Drosophila melanogaster: one gene and its partner. The protein of the gene in region 1 purifies or fractionates together with the protein of each later gene. This does not show direct contact. Each region holds a gene or a part of one and is shown on either strand. Other genes may lie near its edges. The genes, in order: alphaTry and CG1532.

Evidence for each region.
Region 2: the proteins of alphaTry (region 1) and CG1532 purify together in Drosophila melanogaster (affinity purification with mass spectrometry, with the first as the bait; one large-scale study listed by BioGRID). This does not show direct contact.

Annotation. Positions count from the first base shown.
Region 1 is NT_033778.4:11,343,655-11,346,998, reverse strand, and holds alphaTry (alphaTrypsin), read left to right. Parts: upstream 1-1,879; 5' UTR 1,880-1,906; coding exon 1,907-2,677; 3' UTR 2,678-2,739; downstream 2,740-3,344. Other genes in the region: betaTry (betaTrypsin), read right to left, coding at 1-657; epsilonTry (epsilonTrypsin), read left to right, coding at 952-1,722.
Region 2 is NC_004354.4:21,026,349-21,030,274, reverse strand, and holds the start of CG1532 (uncharacterized protein), read left to right. Parts: upstream 1-1,913; 5' UTR 1,914-1,999; coding exon 2,000-2,095; intron 2,096-2,322; coding exon 2,323-2,372; intron 2,373-2,430; coding exon 2,431-2,537; intron 2,538-3,253; coding exon 3,254-3,867; 3' UTR 3,868-3,926. Other genes in the region: CG1529 (uncharacterized protein), read left to right, coding at 1-18.

The DNA of each region.
Region 1 (3,344 bases):
GACTCCGCCGGAGACCAGTGGGCCACCGGAGTCACCCTGGCACGAGTCCTTGCCGCTGGCAAAAGCGCAGATCATGGAGCTCTTGATCTGGTTTCCGTAGCCATAGGAGGAAGAAGAGCACCGGCTCTGGCTGACGATGTTCACGTTGACATAACGCAGCTGGGAGGGAATGGAGCTGGAGCCAGAGGACTCGGTACCCCATCCGGAGACGGAGGCAGCAGCACCGTTGGCGGGGTTGGAGCTAGCCAGACCGATGGCCTTGATGGTGGAGCTGAAGCTCAGAGAGGAGCTCAGATGGAGCACAGCGATGTCGTTGACCATGGTGTTGGCGTTGTAACCCTCGTGGTTCTTGAAAGAGGAAACCTTGGCGACGACGCCACCAGAGCTCCAGTAGCTGGATCCGGCGCGGATCTGCAGGGAGGAGGCGGACACGGACTGCAGGCAGTGAGCGGCGGTCACGATCACCCTGGCGGAGTAGATGGATCCACCGCAGGAGTGGCTGCCACTGCGCTGCAGGGAGATCTGCCAGGGGAAGCTGCTGATGGTGGTAGCAGTACCGCCGACAATGCGGCCATCCAACTGGGGCAGGAGACCCTCGGGGATGGTGCCTCCCAGGGCGCAGGCTACAGCCGACAACAGGATCAGGAACTTCAGCATGGTGCGATTGAATGGATACTCTTCGAACCGAAAAGTGTGCTTATATCGGGGGTCACTATCTCGGGAGGCGTTTAATCAATGGACAAGTGAGATTCCTCGTGGTTAAAGTGGATAACGATGTGGAGTGGTCGTCGTGTGATAAGCTGATTATTTCTAAATATCACCGCCTATATCGATGGTGAAAATGACGCAACAATTATGCTGAAGTTGCAGCTGTCAATCAAGTGGAGATATTTGCCGCGGGGACTGTATAAAAGGGGTTTTGATCCGCGAATCAGCATACAAACGATTAAAATGTTGAAATTCGCGGTACTTCTTTCCGTTTTGGCCTGCGCCTTGGCTGGCACCATTCCCGATGGCCTGCTGCCCCAGTTGGATGGTCGTATCGTCGGTGGTTATGAGACCAGCATCGACGCCCATCCCTACCAGGTGTCCTTGCAGCGCTATGGATCACACTTCTGCGGTGGATCCATCTACTCCCACGACATTGTGATCACCGCCGCTCACTGCCTGCAGTCGATTGAGGCCAAGGACCTGAAGATTCGTGTGGGCAGCACCTACTGGCGCTCCGGCGGCAGTGTCCACTCCGTTCGCTCCTTCCGCAACCACGAGGGCTACAACTCCCGCACCATGGTCAACGACATTGCTATTATTCGCATCGAGTCCGATCTGAGCTTCCGCTCCAGCATTCGCGAGATCCGTATTGCCGACTCCAACCCTCGTGAGGGCGCCACCGCCGTGGTTTCCGGCTGGGGCACCACCGAGTCCGGTGGCAGCACCATTCCCGATCATCTGCTGGCCGTTGATCTGGAGATCATCGATGTGTCGCGTTGCCGCTCGGATGAGTTCGGATACGGAAAGAAGATCAAGGACACCATGCTCTGCGCCTACGCCCCACACAAGGATGCCTGCCAGGGTGACTCCGGTGGCCCACTTGTCTCCGGAGACCGCCTTGTCGGTGTTGTGTCCTGGGGCTATGGATGCGGTGATGTGAGGTATCCCGGTGTCTACGCCGACGTTGCCCACTTCCACGAGTGGATCGAGAGGACCGCCGAGGAGGTGTAAAGCCAGACAAACACTTGAAATAAATCGCAATTGAATCAGCATTGATATCTGTTTCTCTATTTGGGCCCAATTGCGTCGCAGGTGTAAAGCCCTCGAAATTGCGGCTAGATAAGAATTGTAGCGTGGGCTGTATATAAGGTTGGACGGGCGGCATGTAAGCCAGCACTTGTTAGCAACGCCCATCATGTTGAAGATCGTGATCCTCTTGTCCGCCGTGGTCTGCGCCCTGGGAGGCACCGTCCCTGAGGGACTCCTGCCTCAGTTGGATGGCCGCATTGTCGGCGGCTCTGCTACCACCATCAGCAGCTTCCCCTGGCAGATCTCCCTGCAGCGCAGTGGCAGCCACTCCTGCGGTGGATCCATCTACTCTGCCAACATCATTGTGACCGCCGCTCACTGTCTGCAGTCCGTGTCCGCTTCAGTCCTGCAGGTCCGTGCTGGATCCACCTACTGGAGCTCTGGTGGCGTCGTCGCCAAGGTTTCCTCTTTCAAGAACCACGAGGGATACAACGCTAACACCATGGTCAACGACATCGCTGTCATCCGTCTGAGCTCTTCCCTGAGCTTCAGCTCAAGCATCAAGGCTATTAGCCTGGCCACTTACAACCCAGCTAACGGAGCCTCTGCCGCCGTTTCCGGTTGGGGTACCCAGTCGTCCGGATCCAGCTCCATCCCCTCCCAGCTGCAGTACGTGAACGTGAACATCGTTAGCCAGAGCCAGTGTGCTTCCTCCACCTACGGATACGGTAGCCAGATCCGCAACACCATGATCTGCGCTGCTGCCAGCGGCAAGGATGCCTGCCAGGGTGACTCCGGTGGCCCACTGGTCTCCGGCGGAGTCCTCGTCGGTGTTGTCTCCTGGGGATACGGATGCGCTTACTCCAACTACCCCGGTGTCTATGCCGATGTTGCTGTCCTCCGCTCTTGGGTGGTGAGCACTGCTAACAGCATCTAAGCTGGTACCCAGTAGGTTGGATGTGTCAAAAGCCTTCAATAAATATTTGCCATTCAGAACATAGATGATTTGTATTTGGTCTGGGTACTTTAACATAAGAGGGTTTACAAAATATACAGAAAGCTTTTGTATTTACTTCTATGTAGTTTAAGTTAGTGGTTAAGCCTAAAGAATAAAGTAGTGGAAGTTGAATGTATTACACATACCACTTATTACACCTTTCGTATTAACAATAGGGAAACAGTTCTCGAGGTTGCCCGCGTCACAGGTCTTATCTTTTGTAGGGTTCACGGGTATTCACATAAAGTAAGATAATTCAACGCACCTTCTGTGATTTTCACCGATTTCAATGGGCTCGAGTGGCTAAAGGTAAACATTTGTCCAGGACCAATCTAATCAACTTCGAGTGCATCGCGTGGCTAGGGTTCCAATTCATCTTCCATTGATAAGTTGAGTGATGGTCTGGACAGCTGTGGCAAGATTAATTAGCCGGAAAAAAATGAATAGATAAGATTGCACAGATTTGGACACTCGAAGTTGAACGTTTTGGTGAACCGTGACTGGTGAAATACTGGACGGTGTGAATAGATGGTAGGAATGGATTGTCTTCTGTTCTTTTTCTTATATTTGTGAATTAAACGCAACAACAATTGCAAAGAATAAACAA
Region 2 (3,926 bases), on another chromosome or scaffold:
CCTTCGAAAGCCTTATGATCAACTATAACCTATCCATATACGTCCGGTTACATACATCAGGTTAGCGCCCCTTGAGCAAAAATCTTTGATTTGAGATATTTAGAAAACTGTTAAAGCTAGAGTTTTGAAAATTGCTTTTCATTCAAACGTTGAACAATTCTATAAATGTAAAATTTATATAGGATGCAGTTTCTTGTTTATAGATTTTTATTTAAGTAAAAAAAAAATCCATAAATGGGTTAATTAAAATTGGGTTATCAGGATAACGCCCCCTAAGATAATTTAAGTTGGTTCGATTCATTTCGAAAGAAATTGGGATGATTAACACTTAAATATTTAAATTAGAATATTTTTAAAGGAAATTATGGACTTCACACATTCGTCTGGAAAGGGAATCATATATTTTTTTTGTAGGTAATCCAAAGTAATCGCAGACCAATCGAGTTTTATTCCGGTGAACGATTCGTTTTGAGTGGCATATTGTTTACCACCCTCGTATACCTTCCTAGCCAACCATACCCACACGTTATCTATTATATAGTAGTAGTATGGTGGTAGTAGTATGGAATCCATGTTTTTGCCAAACGTGCAGTGTGGATTGAGACACTGTCAATTTGAAAATGTCATTCTAAATTTCCAAAAACGTTTCTAAAGTAGGGAAATGCAGTTTTGAATTATAATCTTTTGCGTTCATTTTTGGTGTTTAAAACTGCAATTTACCTATAACCCGACTGTGACAGCGATCCAAAATGTACGCAAATCATAATAGTAATGAAAAAAGCCGTCTGGTTTCTCCAGATTAAATTTCTTCTTGTCCGAAAATACGACGCCACTCCTTAGACCAAGTCAAATGAGCTCGAGCAAAACTCAGACCCGCTTTTTTTCGCAACTTATTGAGAGGTGGTTTTATTTTCAGTTTTTCGTGTTTTATGTTTAGCTGTCTTAATCACCATTTGAATCAAAGATTTGATCTGGTTTTCAACACTTTTTCTCGAATTTTGGCGGAGAAGTCGTGGGAATTGGGAGGTATTCGAAGTATGGACCTGCGATCTGCCGCGGTAAAGACAAGGTTATTGCCACCATTATTTTTTTTTTCCATAAGTTTCGTTCTTTTGAATAAAGTTTATTATAGGGTTGCGACATCTGGCGGGTTTTCTGAAATTTTATGATTATGAGCATTAATAGAATGCTATGATATTGTATATTTCCTGCAGGGATAACAGGGTTCCTCTTAAAGCAAACTTTTCAATTCAACAGCATAACAAATTTTGTTGTCCTTACCTTAGGACCTTTTTTTTATCCTCAAGGAGAGAGGGAATGTCAGTGAACAAAAAACAACAACATTGATGAATTTTCGTGCAATGGCAAAACCAGAAAATAAAAATGAACGGAGCCATGCAGGGGGCGCTAATCTGATGACGCGTAGTGTATATCCAATGAACTATCATGCAAATGTGGCTAGGACGCATTAGCGAAAATTTTTAAATATCTTACTTTCACGACATTTTATCCTTGCTACTACAATGTATTAAATAGTTTTATATGTTCGCTTACTTCGTATTTTATACGTTTTATATGCTCGCTTACTCCATATTTTAAGTGCCTAATAAAACTGTTGACGATAATTGCTTTTCATGGAAGGACTTTTGTGACAACATTTTGGATATACTCTTTTTTTAAAGTGTATTTGTCAAGTGTAAAATTTTGTGTCACAAAAGGTAAATTCCGATATTCGTTTTTTGAAGGTGCGATAGTCATTAGTTTTTTCCTCGTAGATGTCAATCAGCAAAAAGCGCACTTTATAATTTAAAACTTACAGTGTATTTAAATTTATTATTATTTAGTCTAAACTAAAAAATATCGATACTTCCAAAAGCTCCCGTCGCTGGGAATATTTGCTGTTCTGCGCACGGCCACACTGAAACGGAATGTACATAAACAAGGCCGAAATTCGATCGGAAAGCACTTGCTGAATAAACGCCAGCTGATAAACACAAAGATGTCGGCCATATCGGGACGCGCCCTGCACTATGTGTTCAAAATCGGAGATCGGGCGAAAAACGCCTTCTTCTTTCGGCAAATCTTGGGAATGACGGTAAGCTGGGTGTGGCGGGCGTATCGCCAGAAATCGGCAGACTTCCTTATCGCAGGCTGTTGTGTCTGGCTGTAGTTTTATCTGGACAACGTGTCAACGACGCGCGGCTGCTAATTAAAAAGCCCAGATGCCCGATAATGTCATATAATGACTGTGTTAAAATTTCATTTTTCTCTCATCGTTTTTGCTCCCTTCTATCGCCATCCCGCTCGTTCGCACGGCAACAGGTGCTGCGGCATGAGGAGTTCAAGGAGGGATGCGACGCAGCTTGCAACGGGTGAGTGCTATTTCGGAGTGTTGCGACAGGACTAACTGGTAGTGTTAATCCTTCACAGGCCCTATGACAATCGGTGGAGCAAAACAATGGTGGGTTATGGACCCGAAAGTTCGCATTTCGTCATCGAACTCACGTATAACTATGGAGTGAGCAGCTACGAAATGGGTAAGACACATACCGGATAAAAATGTTAGGCTCACATGAGGATTAAAAGTCCTGAGTGCAAGCTAACAAGCGGGAACGTTTTAACCCTTACAGCGGCTAAGTAATATCATCCTAAAATACCTATTTATTTTATCAGGCATTAAAGCGTTTTTAATAAGAATTGAGAGTTGAAAAAGTTTGAAACTTCAGTGATGGTAGGCTAAATCGCATATTTAAGCTTTGAGCAGTCATATGTACACATTTCTGGAAATTTGAAAAAATGTACAACCCTATAAATGATTACCGAGTTATAATCCAAAATATTTAATCTAACACTAGTAAAATTGGGATGGCTTATCTTAAAGTACAAATGAGTTATTCTATCTTCGACAACTTCATAATTAAGTGTTTCACTAATAATAGCTATTCGATAAGTGACTTGTCTTAAGTACGTAAAGATAGTAGGTTATTAATCTTTTTCTTTATGAATACGGAAATAGTTATCTATAAGTAGGTCGAAATCTATCAGTCATTCTAGTTAAAACCGCGATGAAGATTTCTGTCTATCACAAAATGAACTAAAAACGAAAGTATGTGAGTTGAATGTTTGAAGATGTTTGAAAAAGTACAGTACAGTAATTGAAATATACTACTTAATGATTCCCTTTGTATTAATTCCCAAGTTAATTTTAACACTTATAAATCCTGTTAATCGATACTTATTCTTTTCGATTCAGGCAATGATTTTGGGGGCGTGACCATACACTCCAAGGATATCCTTTCCCGCGCCGCCGAGCACTCGTATCCTGTGACACAGGTGTCTGGAAAAGCCGGTAGTCTGCTGACCTCGCCCGATGGCTACAAGTTCTATGTGATCGATCAGGCCTCTGCCAGCTCTGATCCTGTCCAATCGGTGGAGCTTAATGTGAGCAATCTTCAAAACTCGCGCAAATACTGGCACGATTTGCTGCAACTGAAAGTTCTCGAGGAGAACGAAGCAAGCGTGCGTTTGAGTTACGGTGAACAGCAGGCTTCACTGGAGATCACCCAGATCTCAGAGCCAATTAATAGAGCTAAGGCCTATGGACGAATCGCCTTTGCCATTCCGGCGGCCCAGCAGCCACCTCTCCAAGAAGCGGTTAAAGCAGCTGGCGGGGCCATTCTAACACCTCTGATTACCCTGGATACGCCAGGAAAGGCCACCGTTACGGTGGTAATTCTCGGTGACCCCGATGGTCATGAGATCTGCTTTGTCGACGAGGAGGGCTTCGGCCAGCTATCTCAGGTGGAGTCCGATGGCGATAAGCGACTGGATCGAAACATCGAAAAGGATCCCTTCCAACCGAAATGACTTTCCCAGCAATCCTTGAGCACTGTTATTTGTACACAGCACCTTTTGTATTTGGATTT